Coturnix japonica: one gene and its partners. The protein of the gene in region 4 interacts with the protein of the main gene of each other region in a biochemical or structural test. Links are inferred from orthologs where the notes say so. Each region holds a gene or a part of one and is shown on either strand. Other genes may lie near its edges. The genes, in order: RNF4, PRKN, TRIM63, UBE2N, RNF168, AURKA and RNF111.

Region 1 (3,975 bases), on a different chromosome or scaffold from region 4:
AAGGCTCACTTGTTTCTTAGTTAAACTTACTCTGGCGTTTAGCAGCAAATCAGAAAGATATAAGGAGTCCCAATTAAGCTTTATCTGAAAAAACAACCTATTATTTGAAGGTAATGTTTGTGTGGGGGCAGAAATAACCAGGATTCATGCTGTAAGAAGCCATCCTTAGAGAACAAAAATTACAGATAAGCAGTCCTCTATTCTCCAAACCACAGCTAGATCAAAATGTGGGAGCTAAGCAGCTCGAAATGTGGAGAACAGAAATGGCTGTGTAGAAAGGCTCCAAGAAACACCACTGTTCACAATGGCAGGGGTTGAGCCCTGCTCAGCAGGCAGCCAGCTGCTGGATGACCCAGCCCCACTGTCCCTGCAGGGCTGAGCTCTCTGCTCACAGCTCTGGCTATGAAAGGTGCCAGCTGTGGCTCATTGAACAGCCCCATATCTGCACAACTGCAACCCAGTGAGTTCCTAACACTTCTGGGTACAAACACGGGCACACACCTGAGCACTGCTGAACCGACTCTGACTCACACACTTCACTGCCTGTACTCAATGCAGGAAGCCCAAAAGACGCTCCCTGCACACAGAACTCAGCCACACAACCCTTCTCAGTTCCATTCCATTCTGTATCGAGGCGCAGTGTGTGCACCTCATCCTACTGCTTACAGGTTGAGATTCACCTCCCAATGAATGAAGCTTTCCCACCACCTCTCAGCTTAACCCAGAAAGCCAAGCTACAACTTCCTCAGCTCTCCTCTGATATAGAGCTGGAAAAATACTTTGAGAATAAAAGACTGGGGAATACCGACATACGTATCTGAGGATCACAAGGAATTCATCTTCATACAAGCTTTAAAATTACCAACAGCTGGAACTGTTTTCATTGGAGTCTCTTACGGCAACCTGATGTATCTATGCTTAATACAGAACCTACACAAAACCCCAACGCTCCTGCCCCATTCTAGTCTGCTAAGGGCTTAAATCTGAACTTCTCTGGGAGCTTCTTTCAAGAGGAAAGCTGAGGATGGATATCCATGGGGAGCCCACTGCTGTAAAACCCAGAGAGGGAAAATCCAGCAGCATCCACTGAGGGAAAGCAGACTGCTGGAGCTTGTTACTGCTGTGGATGACGCCTCCTGACCTGGCAATGTTTCTGTCTGTATAAGAACAAACCTCTTCTGTGTGGCTGCAGATTTCTACAGTAGGTTCCTGGCTTACTCAGGAAGCTTCCCCCAGTGGTAACTATCCATACCACAAAGAGGAGGAAAAATGAAGCCAAGCTTACTTTCTTTGGTACAACGCAGATCAAGTTACCATTACATAAGAATAGAATTAACAGCTACAAATCCTGCTCGTTTAGGCACCTTTTTACTGATTAGCACCTAAAGGCTTTCAAAGCCCCAGGACCACTCACAGGCCCAGACACCCACATCAACCCATAAGGGCTGTGAGATCCCCTCCAGCACACACTGCTCAACCAGCACCCAACAGCACGAGCAGGCACTGGGGGTACAACCCCAAACCAGAAGCATCCAAAGCTCCAGCTGCAGCCATTAACAAAGTCATCTATTATGTCTGTAACATAATCAGTTCCAGATTCTAGAATGAGGATTTGTCAGAGCGGGACAGGTTGCGCCTTCAAATGTGCTTCCTCACCTCCTCTCTTATTAAGCCCTCTCAGTGCACTCCCAACAGCCCATAGAAAAAAATAAGCTCTGTGGTTCTCCTCGCAGTGGTGCTCAGGGCCAGGCCCAGAGGCATAATCTGGAGCCTGAGAGCTCCCCTTCCCACCAGGCAGCAAAAAAACCCTTCTTCCCTATATCTTATCTAAATCTTTATTCATGTCTGACTCATGTCCAGCTCTCCATCCTCCGTTACCCCCAGGTCCTTTTGGGCAGGGTGGTGCTCCAAAAGCTGCCTGGACCTCCAGCTCTATCAGGGCTGAGCCAGAGGACACTGCGAACCTCAGCCGTGTGTCTCCGGTGTCTTCAGAGCCAGCCCTGCTTTTCCTCCGGATGCAATACACAAAGTTCACCAATAGCAGACACCAATGGATTCCATCTCCCCATCTCGGCCTCGCAGTGCCCCAGGAGCTCGGCATGAGGAGAAGCAGCCAAGCCCCCCGGCCCAGCTGCAGCCCGGGCACCACGCACACACTGACCATGAGACCACAAAGCACAGCCACGGGAACGCAGCCTGAGCTGCCATTTGGCCGCCTGACCCACTTTGTAGCGCCAACCAAACCCGACGCTGTCGGCTCATTACACGAGCTCTGTGCAGCTCCCTCGCAGGGTTTTCCCGTCGTTAGGCCGCAGCTCGCGTTCAACAAGGCCCAGACACACGGACGGACGCGGCCCGGTTCGGGAGGAGCCGCCCCGCAGCGCCGTGTCACGGCGCAGGGCCCCGCTCCCATCGTCGGGCGGCAGCAGCTCATGCAGCACTGGGAGGCCGGGCCCGAGGCCTCAGGCTCGGCTGGGAGGGAACGAAGCTGCCGATCCGCGGACAAGGCCGCACCGCTCCGCACACACACAGGCCCACTCCGGCCTGGACCCGGCCGCCCTGCCCCCATCGCGGCCTGCAGCCGCCCCAGCTTAACGCGGCCTTCACCCGCCCCCCCTCACCCTGAGCCCGGCTCCGCTCAGCGGCACGACCCGCCCGGCCCCGCTCACCTTCCGCCGTCGGAGCGGTAACGGCACAGCGCGGCGCTCCCCCGCCCTCCCTCCATTGGCTGCACCGGCGGTGCGGGGAATGGCGGCCGCACGTCACGGGGGTGGATCCATCACGGCCCCGCCTCCATCCCGGCCCGTGCCCGCCGGGACATGTAGTTCAGCTGGAAGGATGTGGAAATGATCTCGGCAGCTAGATGGCAACAAAGAATTCCACCAGAAACAAGGGAGAATGTAATGCTGGGAGAGCATTAACAGCAGCTGCACGGCTCCAATGTCAGCGGCGTTTTCCTTCCATTTAAATATTTGCCATCGCCTTAATTAAACACTTAGTAACTGGCATCACGTTCAAATAGAAATACATTACGTCGTCTCACTGCTCTGCAGATTCTAATGCAGATTTATATCCTCCTTGGCCAGGTGCCTAGAATAAGTCTCATGATTTAAGGGCTGTTTTACAGTATAGAAATTGTCATAGAGGGCAAATGATCTTCGAGGTGAGTAGCAGAATTCTGTCTTCTGGAAGCAGAAAAGAGAAAAGAAGCTAAAGAGACCCAGCAGTGTTATGTGCTCCTTCCACTGTTTAAACACTGAGCAGACTGCAAACAGAGGGATGGTCTCTTGGGGTGCTGAATGCAGCCTGTGGGCTGTCCTGTCATCTCAACCTTCCAAATGATTTCCTTGCACCCTCTAAAACCAGTATTGAAGCTGGTGATCTTGTTACACGCAGTTACTGTCACGTCAGAAGATGTGTTAGGAACCTGGGCCAAACATGCTGCTGAAAAAATGCTGATGTAAACAAGTACTGCCTTTTTTCTGCCCCCATTTTTATTCTTCAGGAAAATGAACACAGCAACTCATGGCACAGTGACAGCAGTAATATGGATCTCAGTGTTCTTACCCAGACACTGGCCATCTCGGTTTCTTACAGCTTTTCATTCTAATAGGAAGAAAATGTAACGTTACAGCTACAAAATTAAAATTCCAGTATAAAAAATTAACACGTTTCCATTCTACCATGTCTGAATGACCCAAATTTTGCTACTAAAATGGTACAGATCAAATAAAGATTAAAATTCAACCTTGTGATACACAGTTGCTCTGGGAGACTTCCAGCAGGCCTGGGTTTGTTCCAAGTGCACTTTATTTTACTTCGGAGCGCAGGATACACGATGTGGCTCCGCTTTTTGCTGCCACGTACGCAGCCATTTTCTCGGCTGTTTCTCTGGCCATTAAACCGTATTGAAGAGACTTGAACCGCCTTCCCCGACTCTCTTCCAGTTCTTTCCAACGGTTCCACTGCAAGGAG
Region 2 (3,500 bases), on a different chromosome or scaffold from region 4:
TAAGGAGGGGGATGAGCTGAGAAAATGTCCGTTTGTGCTCTTTTGCAAGGAGCAAATAACGACCCTTAGTTGAGACAGGATGGCAGGCCATAAGGGCATTTATCTAGTCAAATGTGCCAATTCATACTGTAAATGTACATTGCATAAGTGTACATGCATAACAGCAGTACAAAATAATGATTTCTCTCCTGGATTATCTGGTAAATTTTTATCTCCAATTCAGCACTTCAAAAATAATATCCTTCCACTCAAATGATGCAAAAGCTTATAAGAGAAGCTTCTAAGAGAATCTTTTGCCATGCAAAAGTTAACCACAATCCATTTTCCTTATAATTCAAAGGCGGGCAAAATAAAACAAAAGCTGGTTAAGGGGCACAGGGTCACCATTTTATGTTAACAAGCAGAAATAACTTGGTCTACTGAAAGAGAAGTGGTTATCTCTGCAACCACAGAATAGCTGATTAGCATGTTAGACAAAATAGTAATCAATTAATCATCTGCCTCTAAATTGTAGGTTTAAATTGCCCCCTGTTCATTGTGTGTGATTTCACACACGGAAAATAATAATTTTTGGTTTTACTGCATAGGTTTTTCATTTAGGTTAATCACAACCATCCACCTTCTAGCAGAATGGCTTTAAAGGTATTTAAAACAGAAGTAATGACATATGTATCCTTCAGCTACTCATTCCCACTATTGTTTACTCATCACAACTGTGTCAAGGCAAATGTTACTACACAGAAGAGTTGACTAAAAAAATATCATCTCTGGGTTCATATTTTATTTATTTTTTTTGTTCTTGCTGGATCATTTATAACCCAGACCAGTACTCATCTCAGTGAATAATGTGACTGCACATTAACCCACCTCAACTTCCAGAAACAACAAAGACATAAAAATCCTCCATATTGAACAGAAGTAGTAGAGCTGAGCAGTGGCAAGGTCAAGTATTCATTGTGAAAGTCATAGCAAACCAAGGAGAAGACAACAAGCTTTTAAAAAGAAACATACTAACATCCTTGCGGGCAGAACCTATCAGTCATTACAGGAAACTGTTTTTTCCCTTACGACAAAAAAATAAAAAGAAAAATCTCTTTTAACCACAGATAAAACTAGACCACATATACTCCTCAGTATTTTTTCCTCAGTTGTCCTTCTGCTGTGAAAAGATTTGCTGCAACAGAACATACCTATCTATCCATCTGCAGACCTCACAGAATTTGCAGACTATGGAAAAATGCACTGTGTAACACATTTTAAAATGCCTTACATGTGTATAAACTATTCTGTAAAGTCAAACGCTACTATTAATTTCATGTAAATATCATGCACAGTACTGAAAAAGCAATAAGGATCTAGCACCATTGCCTTGACTTAGAAGGCCCAGCCTGAAACTCTGTCCCTACCTTAACAGATTTAAATTGGCATGCACCCCACTTATCTCATTATTCATGGAGAATGAGAGATGTGGATCATTAAGCTGGGCACTAATTTGCTCCTAAACTGCACTCATTCATCATCAGCTGGCAGTGAGAGTTTGATCAAGTCAGTTGTGGAACACTTCTCTGACCCTTCCATTTCTTTTTGGCATGAGTTACTTAAGAAATTTTCTATAAAGTTATTCTAACAGTTTAGTAGCTGTTCAGTTAAGCACGATTATGTTTGTGGTCAGGTTAGTTACAGAAGTATGTCTGTGTCATATTTACAAACTCCCTTCTGTACCCTGGACCTCTGTGCTTGCTACTATCATCCATATCAATCATTCTAAAAATACATCTTTGGTAGACCATTACCACAAATCACCACTCAGAGTCTGGTATTCCACAAAACGATTTTTCTTCCTTGGAGACAAACACAGCATTCAATGAGGGTTAGTTAGACTGTGTCTGTAGGAGAGGGTTAATCTGAGAAGTATTATCTAAAACATTCTTGTATTTCTGTCTTTTGTACACATCTCTACAGAACCATTTTAATTATTACCATAGAAAGATTTATATAATCACAAGGTTGGAAAGGACCAATAAGATCATCTAGTCCAACCGTGCACCTTACACAACAATCCATTTGACTGTGATGTAATTTGTGCCTCAGACAATTTCTTATGATGAAGAAAAAGTATTCTCAGTAATAATTTGGTGGGTGAAGAACTACTCAAATCCACAGTATGAATCATCATCATCTTTTGTGCCAACTATGTTTCTATAAATAAGAAGCCCATTGTATAGAAATGTTTTTTATAAAATGCATGGGTATGAAAACATTACAACAGACTATTAAACATATTTCCAGTGTAAAAGCTTCCAAGAATCCTAGTAAAGGAAGCTTCAGTAATGGAAATTTTAGAGGGATTATTTTTGCTTGCCAATAGACTTCTGCATTTTTGTGTATTTTTGGTGCTTTTATTGTTGATGATAACTTCTTAGAGAAAAGACTAAGAAAAGAAATCATTGACTTTATCCATAAAGCAAAATTATGTTATTAGAAGATGTGTCAGCTGTTTAGCATCTCTTAGTTGCATTTTTTGTTTGAAAACTAAAAGAAACAATACGTTATGCTTTTTGTCTGTGGTATAGAATTGCTCACTCTAATAAAGAAACATAATTTTTTTGTTTAAGCATTAAAATACCCTGTCTCTGGAGACATCCAAAGTTAGGCTGGACCAGGCTCTAAGCATCTTGATCTAGCTGTATATGTCCCTCTTCACTGCAGGAAAGCTGGACTAGATGACTTTTAAGAGTCCCTTCTAAATGATTCTATGACTCTGTGTACCAAATAACTGATTTACCTGACTTTTCAGACGGAGGGGAAATGTTGGGTTCTTTAGTATCCAGAATAACAGCCAACCCTGCAGACAGCGACGGGAGGATGCTGGAACTGAGATCTATGCGAGTTAGACTTTCAGGTACTCTTTCCAACGTTTTTAGAATGCCTCCAGTATTGTTGTCTTCAGTCTCATCCTTATCACTATTCTTCTGTGGATTCTGAACAATATGAACGATGCTTTGCTGGACCAGGTCACAATTCTGCAACACAAAACCAAAATCCTAGTAAATAATTAATTGTGGCTGTCACGGGTTAGTTAGATTTACCTATGCCCGTGACAGGGGAAGCCACTCCACTCCTCCTGCGGGCCGAATGTGAGGGGGAAAAGTGGAGTGGGATTAGAAACTAGCTGGACAATCGTTATAGGAAGGAAAACTATTTTATTCTAATGTATGATATTCTGAAATACAAATTAACACAATTATATATTAGTTATTTAATGTGTAACATTCGATACAAACAGAGAGAGTATGAGTGCTTTCTCGCGAAAAACCGGAGAGTCTTATCTTTGTGTAGACTTCTATGTCGATGTTCACGAGGCTGTGAACGCTTCCTCTCACTTCTCCAGAGAAGTTTGAGTATGAAGAAGGAGGCCTGTCCAGCCTGGATAGGAGATTATATATTGAGTCGTCCCTGTGATATTGTGTACTTTTTTCCTGTTGTTCTTCTGTGGTGAT
Region 3 (4,073 bases), on a different chromosome or scaffold from region 4:
GGATGGCCGTCTCCACCAGCCGGCTGGACTTCTCCAGCTGCTCCTTGTACTTGTGGATGAGGCCCTGCACAAAGCCTGTCTTGTCCTCCTGCTCACGGGTGATGCGTCCCAGTAGCTCCGTCTTCTTCTCCTCCAGCAGAGCCATAAACGCATCAAAACGTGAGCAGAGCTCTTGCTTGGCCGCCTCGCTGTTCTCCTATGGGGACAAAGATGTGTCCTTCCAGCCCCTGTGTCCTCTGCTCAGGGGCTGCCTCCCCCAGCACTTGGTTTCTGGGGGGATGTTTCCATGTCCCTCACCTCAGTGCTGCGGCAGGAATCTTCCAGCTGGGAAATGATGGTCTGGATGCGGTCGTTCCCCGCTACTAGCATGGAAATGCAGTTGTTCAGCTCGCTCTGGGAAGGGACAGATGGACAGAAGCAGCTTTAACCCCTGCAGGGCACAGATGGGTGCTGCCAGGGTATCACGATCCAGCCCCCATCCCACAGGCTGAGAGGGGGGGGCATCGCACTAAATATAGGCCTGTCTCCTGGTCAAAGTCAGCCTGCTGCCTATTAATACCCCATGAGGCATCCCAATGCTATTTGCAGCCACCCTAGCTCAGCACATCGCCCAGATCTGGCCATTCCCCACTGTGGCCCCATGTCCCCCCATGTTGCACCTTCTGGCCCTGGAAGATGCTCTGCAGAGGGGCGACTTCGCAGTCCTTGTGAGCACCGAAGACCTTGCACATGGAGCAGGTGGGGACCTCGCAGGTGACGCAGTAGATGTTGATCCTCTCATCCTCATGATCCTTGCACATGGGGTGCTCCCCCTTCTTGAGCGGCCTGCTGGAGAGAGCAGCCCAACCACAATGACATCCCCAGCACAATGACATCCCCACCATATTGACGTCATGTCCCCATCATGGTGACGTCCCCACAGCAGTGACCTCCCCACCCAATGCAGAACTACTGCCCCATAACCGGATCCTGGCCTTATCCTCCTGCATGCCCAGTAAGCCCAGTTTGTAGCAGTGTGTCATCAGGCATGGCAGCAGTTGGGGCCACGCTCCAGGGATGCTACACAAGCTCCTAATTTTAGCTGAGTGCTGCTGGCATTTATTATTATCATCCAACGCGTGACCCGGGCAGGGGCTCCAGGGAGCTCAGGGGGGTGACAGCCATTGAGTCACCACTGGGGGGTTCGCCAGCTCCCCCCCGGGGGCTGCTGCCACCTGCCACGTGCCTTCCATCCCTGTTCCCATGGAGCTGGAACAATATTTACAGTGGGGCAGGAGAATGGGGAGATGAACTCACATGTCTGGGTCCTTTAAAAAACATCACCCCCCTGTTTGTCCCCCTCCTGCTGCACCTCTGCCACTAAGTAATGCTGTCAGACCCCTCAGGCTGTCCCCCTGTCCCTTATCATTCCCTGCTGTCACAAGCAGAGCCTGGATTTGTCCCTCACACCCCTTATCTTCAACATAAAGCCAAAGCTGCAGGGTGCCAGGATGGGGGCTGGATTCGTTCTTCTGCCACCCCCTTAGGGTCCCCCTGTCCCCACAGAGCAACCGCAGACTAGAACAGCACAGGCTGGGAGGGAGGTTTGGGCTGGGAGATGGAGATTTGTGTTGGGGGTGAAGATTCGAGTTGAGAATGGAGATCTCAATTGTGAGGTGGAGATTTGGGTTAGGGAAAGGTGGGGAGGGGAGCACCAAGCCAGCCTCCCTGGTTCCTCGCCCCCCCAAAAATGATGTGGCTGCCCCTGTGTCCCCATAGGACCAACCTGGAGAACTCCTGCTTGTAGATGTCGATGATGTTCTCCACCAGCAGGTTCCTCTGCAGCCCGTAGACACCGTGGCGGTCCAGCAGGACCTCATGGCGACACGTAGGGCAGCGGAACCGGCCCCCTGAGATGATGCTGCTGCCCCGGCTCTGCCAGTATGGGTTGGCAGCCTGGAGGGGGACAAGGACATCGGGGTGTCCCCAGGTGCCCCTGCAGAGCATCCCAGAGCAGGGCAACGTCCAGGGGGGTCCTCATCTCACCTGGAAGATGTCGTTGGCACACTTGCGGCAGAGGTTATGCTGGCAGGGCAGGATCACCACAGGCTTGCTGAACATCTCCAGGCAGATGGGGCACAGTAGCTGCTTCTCCAGGCTCTCCATGGGGCTGCCATCACGTAGGATGCTGGGCTGGAAATCCATTGGTACGGCACTGCTGCTCCTCCTCAGAGCAATCTCAGTTCTGGAGCCGGAGCCCCTCGTGCAGCTTTTATCCATAGCCCAGCAATCACGTGGAGTCGGCTCGGCTGTCCGAAGGTATCAGCTGTCACATGGCGGTGACAATCGAGGCGCGCGGCCGCAGTAAACAAGCTGGGGACATGCTGGGGACATGCTGTCCGTATGGCCCTGCTGGGGAACACCGAGAGACTGGGGGGGGGTCGATGCTGCTGGGGAGTCAGGATGAAAAAGCACCGGGCTGGGGGTTTGCATTGCCCTTTGCACCCTCAAAATGCAACTTCTTGTGGGGTGAAAGGCACCTGCAGGGCAGCTGATGGCTTTTTAGCTGAACTGCAGCACCTGGGGGATACAGCAAATGTGCTTGGTGCGTGCACCCTCTCTTCCTCATGCTTCTCTGCACCCCAAAAATCCATATAGCAGCCTGCAAGGGGGTTCCCAAGCACAGCAGCACCATGCTGCACATCCCACATGCCCGGCTGTGCCCTGCACTTGTTTGCAAAACCTGACCCAGAAACATCAACAGGAAAACAGGAGTGTGGCCCCTCCAGACTGCTCCCAGCTGGGAGCCGCCCTGATCACATTGCCTGGCTGTCAGCTGGCACACCAGTAAACACGGTGTTCTTCCAAATCCCAGCGCCGGTGCACAGGGAGACCTGTAAATATTGGCAGCTGCAGGGGAGAGGATAATTATAACACCTCTGCTGTGGGTCACAGGACGGGGTTGGGTGAGGTGGCTTCTCTGTTCCCCATAGAGCCCAATGGGTAGGAGGTGCTGCAAGTGGCCAAAGGGATGGGTGCTGAGATGCTGCGGTAAGTGGGTGGTGGGTGCACAAAGCCATGGGCACACAGAGGCACAAGTGCATGGGTACATGGGAGCAGGGGTATCTGTATAGAGGGCTGTAGGAGTGCACAGGTGCATGGGTGCACATTGATGCATGAGTATGCAAGTACAGGGGTAAATGAGGTTACTTGGGTGCACAAAGGGTACAGGGGTGCACAGATAGATGGGTGCATGACCACATGGATACGTGGGTGCACAGCTGTATGAGTACACTTATGCATAGGGACACAGCACAGTGGGTGCACGCTATAGGGGCTCTAATATTGTCCCAGATGAACCCCCCAGACATGGGCAGCCTGTGACTGTTCCAGACGCTCCTTCCAGGAAGGCTCTCACATGTCAACCAAGTGACAGCACAGAAGCCAGCCAAGCACATCTTGCAACATTGTCCCCTTTTTGGCACTGGGAGACCTTCCAAGGAGGTTTGTACATTGAGATACACACCGTAAGGGAGGGAATGGGGGGGGGACCGGATGCACACCTGTCCCATTGCTGGCCCTGCCCACTGAACTCATCACTGCTGGACTTTATGAAGGGGATTCCCACAAGAGGATGAGCTGGAACGCCCCATTCGGTTTCCCAGCCCCCAATGGCTCCTCCTCAACCCCCAGTTGGCTCCGAGCAATGCAGGCACGGCTGCCAACCAACCAACCCGAGCGCTGTAAACACAACCTCCATCTGCTCCCTGCTGCCATTGAGGACAGCGGGGGAGCCCAGAGACGCTGCCAATGATGGGGCAGGTGAATAAATGGGTGAAGAAATAGATGGGTAAATAAATAGGCGAATAGAGGGATAGGTAAGGGGCTGTCATTGCAAAGCTGCGCCGCTGACACGCAGATAAAGTGAAGCAGAGGAGCTAGGCTCGCTTGCTGTCCCACCCCAAGCAACGAAAAAAGAGATAAATAAAAAAGAGATAAAGAGGAAATAGATAAAGAAGAAATAGATAAGCACCAATGCCTACATACACGCAGCCAATCAGAATGCGGTGCGTCAGTGGGCGTGGCCTTCGGGG
Region 4 (4,148 bases):
ATTCCTTACTCTACTGGAGCAACATGACATTGCAACACAGGAAATAATTGGTTTAACAAACATTTGAAAATGAAGATTTCTGGGTTTGCTTACTGGGTACTTTGCAAAGATTCACTCCTTAAATATGTGCAGTAACAAAATAGTTCACAGTGTTTCTCCAGTTCCAATTATACATCTGATTTAAGGATTCACATCTATCACATTTTCTACTCAACATCTGTGATGTGCTAACACCATAAGCCATACTTCTAAAGCGAGTCATCTCCTGAGCTTACAGATCATTCACCCCACTTGTTTAAAGCCTGTCCTTCCAAGTAATCTGAGGACGGCGAGCCAGGAGTAATCCTTTATCTCCTGTAAAAAATGCTTTGCAATATCTATACTGACACCTTTTAAATGAGCGTGGAGAAGTACTGAAAATATAAATAGAGCTCTCTGCTGAGACAAGGAAAGCCAGAGCTCTCCTGCTGGGCTGGATGACAGTCTGCACAGAGCTGAGAAGCAGGCTGGAGAGCACAGGCCGCTAGTCAACCTGAGAGCCAGGCCATCTGCCAGCAGTCCATCAAGATGAGGAATGCCAACTGCATTTTGAGCCCTTAGCTGGGTTCTGCTACGGTGCACACACACTGCTAGACCCCAACAGCTATCGCTGTGCTTCCCTCAGATGACCACACAAAGGCCACACGCGGATCAAAGGGAAAAGGTCTTCTCCTTCCCTCCTACTACTACTCCTAGCAGTAACCCAAAGCATTTAGTTATCAAATTTGCAACTTGTTACTAGAATTATTTCAACCTTCTACAGCCCTTTTCTGTCATCTATCTTTCTCTCTTCTATTTCCTTTCCTCATCTTTCAAATTCTCACTGAGTTCATTTACTCCCCTCCAACTACGACAAGCAGCAATAGGATATTTAACTCCAACATTAAGATCAGTAGCAAGCATCAAAACAGCCCTCATTCAAGACTCATGAAGCTCGTTCCTAGATCTTCAACTCTGCAGCTGTGATACTTTCAAATATTACCTTACACATTCAAGACTGCAATACTAGTCAGGTTCAAGTCTTAGACCATACATAGCGCTGATGACCTCACGTATGCACAGCACAGGAGCTACAGAAACGGTCACCCATTTCAAGACTCAAAGGCCCTGAACTGTCTGCAGACATCCTACAGTGCATACCTGGACATAGACAGCCCAGAATATGCACCACCCTGCAACAGACAACACTGAAATATTCCAAGCAAGACTCTGCTGGAGAAAATCTAGACCATTTAGGTCTCTGCTTGGGGTATTCAGATGTCTATCCCCAGGGACAAGAGCAACATTCTCATACCATCCTCTATCTTGGAAACGAGCTTCATGCATTGCTCTAGGTTTTCCCTAAGAAGCTAAGAAAGAAGAAACAAGGGTGCTAAGAATGAAATGTATGGACTAGCTTGGCCAGAAAACTATCAAAACCTACAGCAAAATCTAACACGGACATATCAGCTTCACAACTCATCTCTCACCACATCTCTACAATAAACACCAGTTCTGCTATATCACGAGATTTCCTCAGACCTGAAATATATTCACCACTGTATGCTGCGCACCAAGGCAACAGGGCGACCAAACTCACTTCTGTAAGATTGACACGTTATTTTGCCTGTATTTCTGAGCATCAGTCACAGTTCAGCTGTTTTCATACACAAAAAAAATCTTGTTGAATTTTTATCCCATCTCCTCTAACATCTGCTATATAGATAGGTAGATATAGATATACTGACTTATATATATATATCTTTATTTTTTGCATCAGCTAGTTAACACATTGTGTTCTTGTGTTTTACAATGGTTGCCAACTTTGCAAGCTCAACCAAGAAGAGCTTTGCAGCATTATTGCAAGTTGTGACATTCATTCAGGTGGAAATGAAACAAGTGCTACCACTAACCAACTAATGAATCTTACTGGAATCGTTTAGTAACTTCAACAAGAGCAGTCGGTGAGCACCGATTTGAGATTGCAAACCACATACTGCAAACCGAGTAGGATCGAGGATGCCAACCCAGGAAGCATTCACATCGGCTACAGGACCAAATCATCAGCAAGACGAACTGCATTGCAACGCAGCTCCCTGCGCCTGTGCCGAGTGACTCCATGCGTTTGAGCCAGCCTGCAGTTCCCTCCGAGGTGTAGCTGGAAGTGGCCGAAGCCAAAAGCGAAGCCTGGCAGACACAGCTCGAGGCACATCAGAGCCGGCAGCTCGGAGCGCACGTAGCAGCCTTACACTGCGCCCGGAGCCGCCCGAGCCCCGAAGGGCCGCGGGACGCCGCCCGGGCGGGCACCGCGACGGGCACGGCCTCGCTGTCGCCAGCCGCCCACAGCACACCGGGACGCCCCGGCGGCTCCCCCGCCACCCGATCACGCCGCCGGGCCGAGCAGGGAGCGGCGGGGACGGGCGGGCCCGGCGCGGCGCCCCGCTCTCATTCAACCCCGCGTTGGCCGGGCCCGGCGGCGGCTCCGCAGGATGCGGGAGGCCTGGGAGCGGCCCTGCCCCGCGCGGCCACAGCTCCCGCGCACCGGAAGCGGCGCCAGGCCCGACCCTGCCCGCCGCGAGAGCGAGCCGCGGGTCGGTGCCTCGCGGCCCCGCGGGGCGGCACGCGTGGTTACCTTGATGATCCTGCGGGGCAGCCCGGCCATCTTGTCTCGTCGGGGTGCAAGATCGCGGGCTCGCCTCCGCTCGGGGCTCGCACACAGCCGGAAGTCTCCCGCTCCGCTCTTCCGGTGGCGCCGCCCTCGGCGCGGCACGTCGGGCAATGTAGGCCGCGCCCGCTGCCATTAAGGGGCGAGTCCTGCCCCGAGTCCCGCTGTGAGGCCGGAGCTCCGCGCTGACAGAGCTCGGATTTCATCAGCGTGGTACAACGTGTGTCAGCGAACAGTCACAGAGATGTCTCAGGACATGTCACCTTTGTGATACTAAAGGCTCGTTAGTCACGTCTCTTCCTCCTTGACAGGAAGGGAAATGTTGTAAAGATGAGGTGTTTTACATGGATGTTGTGGTGTTTTACATGGATGGTGTTACCTCCGCAGCATCCTGTGGCTCCCTACTACAGCTACGTAGCAACAGTAGCATCCAGCACCGTTGCTGAGCAGATGGGAAATGAAAGCACAGAAAGATGAAGCAGTTTCCCAGGAACAAGACCCTGCACGAACAATTCTCTGTCAATTGCTTTAGTCCTGGTTCACAAACAGGACATTTAGATCAGCTACGCCGTTTTCACACACTGGTAGAATGGACAGTTCTAACACTGGCAAATCTGGGCTGTGTAATTGCCAACATGCTCCTGTCAGAAATACTGCAAGCTTGATTTGTGTCCTAAGATAGAAACATTCTTATCAACCCATGGTGGTTACAATAACATGAAGCATGTCAGAAGTGCCGTGTCTCCCTCCTTATAATCAAGGAAACCGAATAGCCTGAGTCAGAAGGGACCCACAAGAATCAACTCCAGCTCCTGGCTCAACAAAGGACTACCCAAAATTCAAACCCTGTGTCTGCAAATATAGTCCAAATGTTCTTGTGCCAGTGCCCACCACACAGTGAAAGAACGTCCTAACTCCCAGCCAGACCCTCCCCTGATACAGTTCCATGCTGTTCCCTTGGGGCCTGTCACTGCCCCCCATAGAGCAGAGCTCAGCACTTCACCTCCACTCCCCATGGGGAGCTGTAGCTGCCATGAGGCCTGTCCTCAGCTTCCCCTAAGCCAAAATCTTCATCCTCCCCACATTGCTTCCCAAAAACTTACCAAATTTTCCTTCTCTATCTTTTGAGAAGGCTACTAAAAGGTACATAGTTGTTCTACACAACTTGATCTCCTCAGCTGTTGAATACACCAGTAATTACAAACTTTTCATATCAACTCATGAAAAACACCAGCCCTGTGCATTCTTGTACACACGTTTGGCCCTTTAAACGCTAAATTGTTCTCCTAACATTATGGGTGTAACTTTCTGTGAAATCGATGAAATCAATGTATTGACATGTGGAAAGAAAAAATGCATCAAACATTTGCAGAATCGGATCTCAAAGAGTTCATCAATAACATTCCCTCATCTTGCCTCGGTGAAGGGTGAGTTCATTTGCATTCATTATTGAGCTTGTGAAATA
Region 5 (4,194 bases), on a different chromosome or scaffold from region 4:
CAGGAAGGGCTGGTAGCTGCACAAAGTGCTGACAGGAGCGTCGGTAACAGGAAAATCTGGTTTGTGCTCTGCTGTAGTTGTGCTGTAAGTGAGAGATTGGGAATGAACTTCCAGATATGGGACACTGACATAACACAGTGAACTGAGGCAACCTTACAGAGCATTATCTTCACAAAAACCACCACCATGATGAAAGAAGCCCAGTAAACCCTCCAGTAAAGCAAAGAATGGACAATGAGCACAAAGCGTTCCATTCCCTCTTCCTTTCTGGTAGACATGGCAAGCTCTCAACTGAGCAGGATTTATTTTCCTGCAGAGGCTGTATGAAGGAAGCTGAAACTCCAAAAGAAACCCCACCATATTTAGGATGTTAATGTAAGAGAGTGCAAAGATACAGTTTTTAATAAGGAAAACTACAGCAGATATCAAGCTATGAAGCAGTTGTTACTTGTTACTGCAGTGTTGTTACTGCTGTTTCACTAAGGTCCTCCCCTCATGCATTTGCTGAGCTGAAGAACCACCATAATAAAAGGGAAAACCAAAGCAGGAAAAGCCAGCAGAGCACAAAAGCCACTGAGGGCAGCTCGGTCTGTTCAGTGCAGTGTGTCACCACATGCATAAAGCACAGTGCGTTGAGGCCCAGATCCTAAACAAATGCTTGTTTCCCACTCCCCAGAGTAGAAAGCAGGCTGCAAACCTTGGAGACACGGTTCCAAGACTTGGATTCGAGCTTGCAGAAGCTGGCACAGAAGTTTGAGGTGCAGGCTGAGCTCCTGGAGAAGGAGAAGAGCCAGGATGCAGCGTGGATATCGGCGCTGGAGGACAGGTGGGCAGCAGGGAAGGGCCAGCACCAGCTGCACTGAGCCCTGCACCTGCAGGTATAAATACACACCTTCAGTGTGTATTTATACAGCCTGAATTACCATGTGCTATGGAAACAGTAAGGTTGGTTTGATTTGAAATGAATATTTGCGTGGTAAAGAGCCACACCACATCCCAGAGAGCAGGGATGGGGAATAAAGAACACGGATGTTCTGCCTCCCTTCTGCTAGTGAGGCCGGCAGGTTGCACTGTGAGCAAACTCTGTCACTTTGAGGTTACAGTCTGATATCACGAGGCGTTCTGCCTTCCAAGCGGGCACGCTGCGATCAGGTAGCGGAGCAGCTGTTGCTGAAGCACCGCTGTGGTGCGGGCAGCAGCCACAGCAGCCGTATAGAAACCTCCGATCCACACAGCCGGAAGCTGCAGCGGCTCTTCCTACTCGCTGCAGCCTCCCCGGAGCTCCCGCACGGAGCACAACGAGCCCAGCCTTCCCTCGGGGCGGAGCAGCTCGCGGCCGTGAGGGCGGAGCGCGGCCCGTGCAGGGCTGTGAGCGCCGGAACTAGGAGGTGAGCGCGGCGGGCTGTGTGTGTGGTGTGTGAGGCGGGGCGGTTTGGCGGGCTGACGGCAGCGCGGCCTGGCCCGGCGCGGAGCCGCGCACTTGGGAGCAGCGCACCCGTCGTCCCGCTGTATCAGGCCGGCCCGCAGCCTCCCGTGAGGATCCCCGCCCTTCTCCTGGACCCGCAGGCCTTCCTTCACCCCGCTCCGTGTGTGTCTGCCAGTCCCGGCCCTGCAGAGGTACATCCGCGCCGTGCTTTGGTACAGAGCCGTACAGCTCGCTGTCTCCATTTATCTGCCCTCTCTCCTGAGAAATAAAAGACTTGTTGTATTAAGGAAGAGCAGAACCACCAGAAGCCGCCTTCGAATGCCTCTGTCTCAGTGTCAGCTTCTTCTGTGGGTTATCCGGGGTCAAACTGTCACGGCCCCTCAGTCAGAACCCTCTGTCTTTATGCAATCACCTGAGGTTTCCTTTTTTGTCTTATTTGTTTCTTAGTTTTTGCAGCTTGAAAAATCATATCTTTGCCTCTTTTGCTGCAGGGGGTGTCTTCTGTTCTTACTTTCTGTTTCACCAGTTCTGGGTGAAGTGAAAAACCATTTGAAAAGCCATTTGAGGAGTGTTGGTGGCAGAAGGGCTGGGTGATCCCCGTGGTGGGAGGTACTGAATTACTGAATACATTGGTTACATCTGTGCTTATGTTTGTAAGACATCAAAAGCACTTTGACTTTTGCCTTCCGGCTTAAGCAAGGACTGTGGAAGATCCTTCTCTCTAAGGAGAAGCCTCTGATCCGTAGGGAGAATGTTGTATTTCACCTTGGCGTGGAGCTAAGCTGGACTCATTTGAAAGTTGATTCAGTAACTGTGATAAGATCCACCAAGCATGACCTTAGCTTGTAACTGAGAAAATAAACACGGGGAGACTTTCTTTACCTCATTGTCCCACGTTCCCATCTCCCTGCTGTACCTGTGGCAGCTCATAGGGGACTGCAGTAGGAATCCTTGCTTCACAGGGACTTCTGTTAAGACCTTCATCTTCCTCTGTAAGTCAAATAGTGACCAGCTCTCTTCAATACGCTGAGTTTTTTGTAATGTAGTTGGAAAACAGTTTTCTGGTGTAAAAGGAAAAAACAAAACAATAAACATCATGTTTCTTTCTGCTTTCAGGTCCTGCTGTTAATTTGTCTCATTCCTGAGCTTCAAGTCAATATGTCGAAGAAATCGGAGGCTCCTCTTTCTTTAGATGACTGCCTCTGCCAGATCTGCATGGAGGTCTTTGTGGAGCCCGTGACCCTGCCCTGCAACCACACCATCTGTAATTCTTGTTTCCAGCTGACAGTTGAAAATGCCAGTCTTTGTTGCCCTTTTTGTCGCCGTCGAGTCTCTTCTTGGGCACGATATAATGCCCGTAGGAATACTCTGATCAACTGGGAGCTCTGGGAGAAGATTCAGAAGAAATATCCAAAAGAATGTGAGCGTAGAATGAATGGACAGGATTTGGAAGAGGAAAGTAAGTAAAATGTGTCGCTTGTCCTGTGCTTTACCAAAGGGATTTTAGTATATATCTTTGGATGATGTGAAAGAAGATACGTGCATAGATGTGCAGTTCCAGAGCTGTCCTGTGAACAGGACTTGCCTTTTGTTTTCTGTAGCTTTTATCTGTTGTGTTTTGTATTATTTTACCTTGTTCCAAACTCGCTCCCGTGACAAGGTATGGAAATGTGAAAATATATTATTGCTGACTGTCATGCTCTTGCTTTTGTCGCTCACTCTTTTTTATTACCCCCTTCCTCTCCATTAGTTTTTGTCCCCCATCCACAACACCAGCTGAGCAAACCTGGGGAACTCAGACAGGAATATGAAGCCGAGGTTAGCAAGGTAAGTCTAAAAATGGATGGAAAAGTGCCGAATGCTTTGAATCTAGTTGTTTTAATTGTTCCCACAAAGAAGTGAAATGTTATTTAACAAGAAGAGGAAGGTATTTAAGAGGGCATTGCTGCTACAAGAACATGCTGCTCATTCCTGATGCATGAATTCCATTTTTATCCTATACTGAAGAGACTTTAAGAAGGTTACGTAGTCACAAAGTGGTATGTAAGAAGTTTCTATAGACTTTACATATAAGAAATGTTGAATAAGGGGGGGAAAAGCCAACCATACAGAGATGTGGAACTTATCAGCTAGAAGTAAACCTATCTCAGAAGGGGATTCCCCTCCTGGCTATGATGCTAAACTGCACTGCCACTGCTGGGATCTGGATATCATGTGGAAAGGAGAGAGGGAGGACAAAGTGTGTGCTCTTCAGCAAGAGCTAACAGCTATTGCTGACAATGGAAGGTGACAGCCTTCAGTTCAGATGCAGGGTTGACTTAAACTGTAAGAACGCTTGTTTATTCAGCTGTGTGTGTTGGCTTATGGATACATTTTCTTGTGGCAGTTTCAGTTTATGCCACCTTCAGGTATTGGTCAGGCTGTCGTACTGCAGGCTTAGTGTACCACTCAAAAGCGAGGCTGAAGAATAGACTTCTATTTAAGGCTGTGTTTTCTTTATTCAGAGGCTTGAGGGCTTGGAACTTTTGTAAACTTTTCTGATCAAGCACGTTCTGTGGGAAGTCCAGTCAGACAGCTGGAGTGATTTCATTTGAACTGTTCCTGTGGAAGGAGTGTTAGTGAAGAGATTCTGATGCAAAGCGTGGTGCTGTAGTAGCACCTTCATACCTTGAAAAACAATTCCTTCTCAGGTGGAGGCAGAAAGGCGAGCACATGAACAGGAAGAGAACAAAGCGAGTGAGGAATACATTCAAAAGCTGCTGGCAGAA
Region 6 (4,240 bases), on a different chromosome or scaffold from region 4:
AAGTTGCTCCTTTTTGTGCCAAAAGCTTTCCTTCAGATTAAAGTAATTTATTGTTCCTAAAGATTACCAAAGCAAAGTAACCCTTCCCAGAGTTTCATTAATAAACATTGTCTCTATGAAGGCCACTGTTCTTAGCAATCAAGAGGCTTAAGTAGGCAGCAGCTTGGCTGCAACTCAGTTGTAGCATGAACTGCTAGACATTGAAAGCACAACTAACAGCTGTAAGTTTTTAAGGCCCGCAACTTACTTTTTAGTGTCTTCCTTTTTCTTTTTAGTAGGCTCTTCACTTTTCTGTTTAGAGACACTGTCTGCTTCAGAACTCTTTGCTGTATACAATCAAATAGAACAACTATAAACCACCAGCGAATGCAAAACATTCACAAGGAATAAGTCTGGGTAGTATCTACAGCAATTTACTGTCTATCCTCTGTATTTAAAACCTAGCATAGCTTACCAGTGGCAAAGCAGCAAAGCAGTTAGAGCTACTTTATCAAAGTGTAACTTCAAATGCTTTTTTGAAACTCATGAAAACATTAAGAAGTCTTCTCCCTCCTGCTCATACAGTGTTCTTGTGTATCAGATTACCATGAACACTGGAAAAAAACATGATGCAGGGATACCAATTGCATGTATTCAAAGTTGACTAATGAGCATCTGTAAATTTTCAAGACTGGAGGAACACTTCTATTAGCTCCTCTAAATCCTTAACTCTAGCAACAAGGACAGTACAGTAATATCTAAGATGAAGTATGTGCTGCTTTTCTCTTTCTGGGTGCAACCATCTATTCTTCTACAGGACTGTCCAACATGTCGTTAGTGTGAGCTTTACATTTTCTGTCCTGCACTCTTGTTTGAATTCTCCTGAGTGTCACAAACACAGAAATGTATCATCTTTGGAATTACCAGGTCCAGGAGCTTGTTGAGGTTTTTCACTGCTCTTGCTTGGAACCTGAGGCCCAGCAGTTGGCTGGACTGGAAGTTTTGGTCGGGGCTGCTGTGTTGTCTGATTGTTAGACAGTTTTTGGTTTGACAGTGAAGAATTTTTTTGTGATTGTACAGGAACTCGCTGGGCAAAATTTGCAGGACACAGAACACGTTGCAGTTGAACTCCACTGTTCAGTGGCTGGCTCTGGGCAGAACTCTGAGACACAGGGACACGTTTTGGGCCATCCACAACTGGATTCGCTGCCTTCAAAAAACAACAACTGCACATTAGTAATAGAATAGAACACTATAACCTTTATGTCCCTGTACAACAGTGTTAGGTACAGGTTGCAGAAAAAGATAGGGAGGAGAAAAAAAACCAGTATATTAAAAGAAGATGTTAAAATTACTCTGATCTTATTTTTTAAGAATTGAATTGACTTGTAGAAAACTACTGTCTTATTAACAACATACTTATTCATAACTAGACACAGAGCCACCAAAGTGTAGATAACAGTGGAAAGCTCAGACCAGCCTTTACTATAGGAATCCTGTTCACATACAATGCTTTGAGTCACTGTTCCCTTGAGTGATGTGTATTTTAAGATGCCTTGCGCTACTACAGGAGTTCATCAGAACAAAGCCAAGTTTAGGATAGTTCCTTTACCTACTTTTAATCCTTTTCTTTCAGTCGAGGAAGGAAATTTAAACTAATATTTAAGTAATGCTTAGTTGCTCTAGAATTAAATTCAAATGCTAATGATCTGTTACTGATGCCTTCACTCTCTAGGAAGACTTATATTCTCCTTTTTTTTTTGATCCAATGCATTGAAAGCTGATTTTAAACCATGCTTCTACTACTTTAAAACCTGACAAGGACCTGTTTATACTTAAATTAGAAGAAAAGAATGTCCGTGCTTCTGTATACAAAGATATGTAATCTTAAGGCATGCACAAAGATATACAACATTCAGGCAGCACGTCCTTTGCAAGTCACAGCCTGTATGTTTTTGCTGTCTTATTAGTTGATTAGGGATAAAAACTGCACTACTAGGACTTCCCAATTAAATAATTGGATGTTAATAACAGCAGCCAGAAGCTCAGTCACCCCCATCAACTCGATAAGCCTCTCACCTTAATAACACGAGAAGGGTTCCCAGGACAGTTCTCTTTTATCTTCTTGTCCATAGTGCCCGAGAAAAGCAAGATACACTTTCACCTATGGAGAATGAAACAGAGAACAGGGCTGAGCCTCCAAGCAGCGCCACTCCTCGGACGTGCTGCTCTCCCTTTGCCCCCTAGGCCTCACTTTAGGCCTCCCCCTAGGCCTGCCCGCCCCAGCTCCGTAACGGCCGGGCCGTACCCACACCACACGCCGGCTGGGCCGCCCTCGAGGCAGGTAAGGCCGCAGGTAAGGCCACAGCACAGCACCACGCGAGGCCCGACCCGGCCCAGCCGTCCCCACACTCACCTCGGCCCGCGGCCGCTACAACTGTTTGAATTCAAACCTCCCTCCCTTAAATAGCCTTTAAAATTCCGCCCCCTCGCCATTGGCTCCTCTCCTGGCATCCGCGCCCTCCGATTGGCCGCTTTTCAGTCTACCTGCCTTCCCATTGGCTCTCCTGACTCCCCGCTCGTCGCGAGGCCTAGACTCGTCGCCGTGAGCTTGCGGTGCGCATGCGCAACGGCGGCCCGCTGCGTACCCGCGTCGTCCCGACCCGCCCACCCTTTGGGCGGCGTTTACGTTACATACGTACTTTACGTACCGTCTGTCCGCCGCTTGTTTCTTCCGTACTCCAAGTGCGTGGATCGAGCTCACACACTTTCTCTCCGTAAGTCTCAGCCCGGCCGCGGTCTCTCGTTACGCAAATCGCGTTACGTCCAGCCCACCCACCTGTGGCAGCGCTACAACTCCCGCTCAACGAGGCCTCGGGGGTGAAGGGCTCCAGGTTAGTGCTGCATCCAGCCGGGCTCACACCTCGATCCTCCTCAGCGTCACCTGGGGCTGAGGGAGACGCGGCGCTGCCACCTCGCGTGAAGCCGAGTGGGAGCTGGGGGCCATTGTGTGCTGAGGTGCGACGGGCAGCAGCAGGAGGAGCATCAGGCCTCAGCTTCGCACGGCGCTGCTCCACGTGCCCTTAACGAGCCTTAAGGGGGCACCAACCCAGCTCAGCACGAGGGGACGCCCGGCTGTTGGCTGCACAGCGCCCGGTGCTGCTCGTGCATTGCGGAGCGGCTCGTGGTGCTGCTCTGTCTCACAGCACTGAGGGACCCGCTGCCTGAAGAAGCGATTGAAGGTATTGAAGGCAACTTATCAGCGGCTCCGCGTCCTTAACGACCCGGCTCGAGGGCGGTCCCGGTGTGTTGGTGTCGACAAGCGGGACACCATAGGGAAAAAGAAGATGTCCGGTCGTCGCGTGGCTGCAGCGTGTGACCGACGGCAGCTGCCGCGGGGCATGGGGAGTATGGGGAGCATGGCAGCTCCGCTGCTCGACCCGCGGCCGCTACGGCTGCCGTTTCTGGAGGCTGACGTGAGTAGCACGGGGCTGTGGGTTGGGTGGCGGTGGGACATGGAAGGGGCTGAGCTGGCTGAGCTGGCGGCCCTAAACACTCGTGAGGCCTGTGTGCCGTGGTGCCCCATGGCAGGTGTTGCGGTGTCCGGCAGCACCGTGCGGGTATTGTAGCCCAAACACAGACTCGCAGCCCCCAGCTGCGGTGCTCATAGCAGCTCTACGCTCCGATGGGCAGCACGGGGCGGTACTGGGCAACCTGATCTAGTAAAGGTGTATGTTTGGTGGCCCTGCCAGGCAGGGGGGTTGGAACTACGTGATCCTTGAGGTCCCTTCCAACCCGGGTCATTCTGTGTGTCTACGGGCCGCCTGGGCCTGCTCGAGGCTGTGCCCTGCCCGACACGTCACCCCACGGGCTGCAACCGGGTCCGAGCCACGGTGGAGGGGGCGTTGGATCCCGGGATCCCCGCTGGGCTCCGCTCTGCAGCCCGCCCCTTCCCCACCGGGCGGGGGGTCCTTTAACAAGGCAGGGGTCCTGTTAGAGCGGCCCGTCGCGTCCTTAACGCGTCACCGGTGACGTGACGCCGCCGTTCTCTCCCCTAAGAGTCGGCTCCAATCGATGTGCGGGCGCTCGATGCAGCAGCCCTCGCGGAGGAGCGTTCTTCGGTCTCGGCCGCCGCCGCCGCCTCCTCCTTTACCGCCGCCGCCGATCGATGCGCTCAGAGCTCCGGTCGCCATTTTAGGGGCAGAGCGAGGGAGGCAGAAGGAAGGGTCGGTAGGTACCGGCGGCCTCGTGTCGTTCTCCG
Region 7 (3,500 bases), on a different chromosome or scaffold from region 4:
GGATGAGGGAATAGAGTGCACTGTCAGCAAGTTTGCTGATGACACAAAACTGGGAGGAGTGGCTGACATGCCAGAAGGCTGTGCTGCCATCCAGCAAGACCTAGACAGTCTGGAGAGTTGGACAGGGGGACATTTAATGAAATTTAACAAGGCAAGCATAGAGTCTTGTATCTGGGAAAGAAAAATTCCAAATACCAGTATAGGTTGGGGAATGACCTGTCGGAGGAGCAGGGTAAAGGAAAGTGACCTGGGGGGTCCTGGTGGAGAGCAGGATGACCACAAGCCAGCACTGCACCCCTGTGGCCAAGAAGGCCAATAGCATCCTGTGGTGCATTAGAAGGGCTGCAGTCAGTAGGTCTAGAAGGTTCTCCTCTCCCTCTACACTGCCTTGGTTAGACCACATCTGGAATACTGTGTCCCATTCTAGGTCCCTCAGTTCAAGAAGAAGGAACTGCTTGAGAGAGTCCAGAACCCACAAAGAGGATTAAGGGAGTAGCTTGGAGGAGACTGAGGGGTGACCTCATTAATGTTTATAAATATGTAAAGGATGTGTGTCAGGAGGATGGAGCCAGGCTCTTCTCAGTGACATCCAATGACAGGACAAGGGGGCAATGTGTGCAGACTGGAATACAAAAGGTTCCACATAAATGTGAGAAAAAATATCTTCATGGTGAGATTAATGTCACACTGGAATGGGGTGCCCAGACAGGTTGTGGGGTCTCCTTCTCTGAAGACATTCAAAACCTGCCTGGACGCATTCCTGGACCCAATCTAGGTGTTCCTGCTCCAGCAGAAGGACAGGACTAGGTGATCTTTCAAGGTACCTTCTAACTGCTGACATCCTGTGTTTCTATGAAATCAGTCATCTTTTCCAGATTCTTTTCCTCTCCGCTTTTCACAGTCACTCTTAACTTTTCACCGCTATCTGTTTAACCTCCTCTACTGCCCTTGTACCTGGCAGGTAATAAACCAGTTTAGAAAGCTCTCTTATTCTGTACCTCCAGCTGAAGTACCAGCAGTGCTGCTATTGGGAAGACTAGAAGTTGTCTCTGGTGCTGCAGAGGGCTGGCTAGTGGAGACGTTTGGAGCTGCATCAGAGGCCTGCTCTGAGGTAGACGTACTAGAACTGTTACTGGAAGCAGAACTCACGACCTGCGGCTCCACTCTAGCTGACGTGGTTGGCACAACTGTTGGCTCTGGCAGGAAAAAGAAAAGTTTTCAAGTTCTGTAAACTTTCAAAGTTGTTAAGATTTTTTTAAATTGATATCTGTAGGTTTAAAATTCATACAATACATGCTAGTCTTGCCAGGTGCTGAGAAAGTCAGAATATAAAAATGAGTATAAAATCGAAAAGTTAATTGTTTAACTTGTGTGTGCACATATGCTCACATATTTCCTGAAGTCTTTCATAAATAACAGGCAAACTACTCTATGATTACGTTATTCTATGACTCCTTACCACCTTCCAATGCCTACAAAGCACAGGAAAGCTTTTGGATAACTAAGCAAGGTTGTAAAACATCTAAACTAACTGAACTGCCTTATAAGCTTCAGCCATTCTTGACACACTGTATTACAGGCACCAGCAAGATAAACTTTTTTTCTAGTCTCAATACACATTAAGCAGTCAATACATTTTACAGGATGAGGGAAAATACACTACTTGATAAATGCTGCTCTCGACCACACGTCTGTGCACAGGCTACATTTTTTTTAAAAGATATTTTGAGGCGCAATTCAAATTCAGTTTCAAAAAATCTGCTTTTGACTATATTTGAAATTTCTTATTACTGACAGAGTAATGACATGCCTAAGAATAGAAGACGTAGTAAGATGATCACTTTTTTTCTAGTAAAAATACGTGTTGCAAGACACTGGCTTCTGACACACTCAGAGAGGGAACTGTCACAAATGAAAGTTCCTTTTAAAAGTTAATACATACTCCCTTCTAAACAACCACCACCACCACATCAGATTCAGACTTCTTCCACAGCTTTTGATAATGCCTGGAAATTGCTCTGACAATTATCATCATCACTAAGCTTGAATGCCAAACTTAGTGGATTTTAATGGTAGGAAACCACAGAACATTACAATTTCAGAAGCATAGAGCGTGCTTTACTAGCTCAGTTCTTTATGGACTACTATTACACAAAGTTTTTCCGCTAAATGGTACAACAGGGTTAATAGAATTCTATCCTATTCCATTTGTCATGGTTTTATAACTTTTGGTTACCGATATCCTGCATCATATCATCATGTAGCACACTGGGAGTTAAAGTGTTAATGCTCCACTGATCATCTCGCTCCTAAAAAAGGAAGAGACTTCAGAGACCAATGTGACTTACCATCTTCATCCACCGTAAGGTCCACTACCTCTGCAGCGTTCTGTCTCAGTGGCTGTATGACTGTGGAAATCCTGCTGCGGTTCCGCTGTTCTTGAGGCCGTGCAGCATGAGTACTAGAGCTTTGTCCCCACTGGGATCTTGAATGTCCAAGAGTTGAACGAGACCTTAAAAACACATCGCCTTAAGTACTGACTCAAACCTTACATTTACTATTTTTTCTCCTCAATGTTTCAGAAGCTATTTCATTTTTTCCCCCTTTTTTAATAACAAAAAAGCATTTTGGTTATGCTGAAATACAAGTCTAGTGAATGTGGCATGGCAGGGTATTTAGAAGCACTATTTTAGACTTTACCAGATAACTTAATGGAAAGTGTCTAACATGTAATCCTATGAACTAAGTACTGGTATTTTATTAACAAAAAAAACAACAAACTGTGAAACCCTACAGCATCAGTCATGCAGTAGCTATACCTAATGTTACTACTTTGTTAGAGAAATATAAGACACTCTGAATTCTACACTACCCCTATGCAGTCTGAAACAGCAGATCTATGAATGGTGATAGAAGAGCAAAGATGATAAAATCCTGTAAGAATTAAGTCCTTCTGAGTATTAATTTGTGGCAGTGTTTTCAGAGGATCATTTCTGAACTTTTAAGGTCCAGAGATTGCTTTGGACATTTATCTTGTGAATATTACTTCCCTTGTCCCCTCTAAGAATAAACACAGCTTTGTGTAACATTTAACAAAGCTCAAGTGAAATGCAGCCTGAGAAAAGGAAATCCTACGCCTGTACCATTCCTAAGGAAATGGGTGATTTTTTTTTTCCTGCAGACATTCTACTTAATTTAGTCATACCAATCCGAATGCTCAAATCAATGATGCTTTGAAGTTTAAGCTAAGAGATTACTATCTTTAATTAGGAAAGTGATATTTCACTGCAGGATATTTACCACCGACTCTCCTATACACACCAAATAGCTCCATTTTCCAATTTGGAAAAACAACATACTCAAACTTCAGTAACTCAGCAGTGAAGAAAAGGGAATGACTAAAACAAAAACAAACAAAACCCACTGCACAAATCACCATGGAGTTCAGTCAACACTTCTATTCTGCCTGTATTCCTTTCACTTCTCTAGCAAGCCATTTT

What was found.
Region 1: the proteins of UBE2N (region 4) and RNF4 form a complex in vitro, tested with the Homo sapiens proteins (2 studies listed by BioGRID, with this or other methods). The link is inferred for Coturnix japonica from reciprocal best matches to the Homo sapiens genes UBE2N and RNF4.
Region 2: the proteins of UBE2N (region 4) and PRKN form a complex in vitro, tested with the Homo sapiens proteins (6 studies listed by BioGRID). The link is inferred for Coturnix japonica from reciprocal best matches to the Homo sapiens genes UBE2N and PRKN.
Region 3: the proteins of UBE2N (region 4) and TRIM63 form a complex in vitro, tested with the Homo sapiens proteins (2 studies listed by BioGRID). The link is inferred for Coturnix japonica from reciprocal best matches to the Homo sapiens genes UBE2N and TRIM63.
Region 5: the proteins of UBE2N (region 4) and RNF168 form a complex in vitro, tested with the Homo sapiens proteins (2 studies listed by BioGRID). The link is inferred for Coturnix japonica from reciprocal best matches to the Homo sapiens genes UBE2N and RNF168.
Region 6: the proteins of UBE2N (region 4) and AURKA form a complex in vitro, tested with the Homo sapiens proteins (3 studies listed by BioGRID, with this or other methods). The link is inferred for Coturnix japonica from reciprocal best matches to the Homo sapiens genes UBE2N and AURKA.
Region 7: the proteins of UBE2N (region 4) and RNF111 form a complex in vitro, tested with the Homo sapiens proteins (4 studies listed by BioGRID). The link is inferred for Coturnix japonica from reciprocal best matches to the Homo sapiens genes UBE2N and RNF111.

The regions. Positions count from the first base shown.
Region 1 is NC_029519.1:74,948,416-74,952,390, forward strand, and holds the start of RNF4 (E3 ubiquitin-protein ligase RNF4), read right to left. Parts: upstream 2,801-3,975; 5' UTR 2,670-2,800; intron 1-2,669. Other genes in the region: CFAP99 (cilia- and flagella-associated protein 99), read right to left, coding at 3,810-3,975. UniProt on the Homo sapiens protein: E3 ubiquitin-protein ligase which binds polysumoylated chains covalently attached to proteins and mediates 'Lys-6'-, 'Lys-11'-, 'Lys-48'- and 'Lys-63'-linked polyubiquitination of those substrates and their subsequent targeting to the proteasome for degradation.
Region 2 is NC_029518.1:40,203,262-40,206,761, reverse strand, and holds part of PRKN (E3 ubiquitin-protein ligase parkin), read right to left. Parts: intron 3,024-3,500; coding exon 2,786-3,023; intron 1-2,785. UniProt on the Homo sapiens protein: Functions within a multiprotein E3 ubiquitin ligase complex, catalyzing the covalent attachment of ubiquitin moieties onto substrate proteins. Substrates include SYT11 and VDAC1.
Region 3 is NC_029538.1:2,860,586-2,864,658, reverse strand, and holds the start of TRIM63 (E3 ubiquitin-protein ligase TRIM63), read right to left. Parts: upstream 2,801-4,073; 5' UTR 2,260-2,800; coding exon 2,026-2,259; intron 1,936-2,025; coding exon 1,766-1,935; intron 829-1,765; coding exon 660-828; intron 394-659; coding exon 298-393; intron 197-297; coding exon 1-196. UniProt on the Homo sapiens protein: E3 ubiquitin ligase. Mediates the ubiquitination and subsequent proteasomal degradation of CKM, GMEB1 and HIBADH.
Region 4 is NC_029516.1:40,865,294-40,869,441, forward strand, and holds the start of UBE2N (ubiquitin-conjugating enzyme E2 N), read right to left. Parts: upstream 2,801-4,148; 5' UTR 2,681-2,800; coding exon 2,651-2,680; intron 1-2,650. UniProt on the Homo sapiens protein: The UBE2V1-UBE2N and UBE2V2-UBE2N heterodimers catalyze the synthesis of non-canonical 'Lys-63'-linked polyubiquitin chains. This type of polyubiquitination does not lead to protein degradation by the proteasome.
Region 5 is NC_029524.1:3,586,311-3,590,504, forward strand, and holds the start of RNF168 (E3 ubiquitin-protein ligase RNF168), read left to right. Parts: upstream 1-1,394; 5' UTR 1,395-1,638; intron 1,639-1,669; exon of another isoform or gene 1,670-2,035; intron 2,036-2,051; exon of another isoform or gene 2,052-2,418; intron 2,419-2,542; 5' UTR 2,543-2,584; coding exon 2,585-2,885; intron 2,886-3,176; coding exon 3,177-3,253; intron 3,254-4,116; coding exon 4,117-4,194. UniProt on the Homo sapiens protein: E3 ubiquitin-protein ligase required for accumulation of repair proteins to sites of DNA damage. Acts with UBE2N/UBC13 to amplify the RNF8-dependent histone ubiquitination.
Region 6 is NC_029535.1:10,854,486-10,858,725, reverse strand, and holds the start of AURKA (aurora kinase A), read right to left. Parts: upstream 2,801-4,240; 5' UTR 2,691-2,800; exon of another isoform or gene 2,682-2,690; intron 2,483-2,681; exon of another isoform or gene 2,396-2,482; intron 2,144-2,395; 5' UTR 2,113-2,143; coding exon 2,059-2,112; intron 1,190-2,058; coding exon 904-1,189; intron 327-903; coding exon 248-326; intron 1-247. Other genes in the region: CSTF1 (cleavage stimulation factor subunit 1), read left to right, coding at 3,327-3,455, 4,039-4,209. UniProt on the Homo sapiens protein: Mitotic serine/threonine kinase that contributes to the regulation of cell cycle progression.
Region 7 is NC_029525.1:5,847,861-5,851,360, forward strand, and holds part of RNF111 (E3 ubiquitin-protein ligase Arkadia), read right to left. Parts: intron 2,513-3,500; coding exon 2,349-2,512; intron 1,197-2,348; coding exon 999-1,196; intron 1-998. UniProt on the Homo sapiens protein: E3 ubiquitin-protein ligase. Required for mesoderm patterning during embryonic development. Acts as an enhancer of the transcriptional responses of the SMAD2/SMAD3 effectors, which are activated downstream of BMP.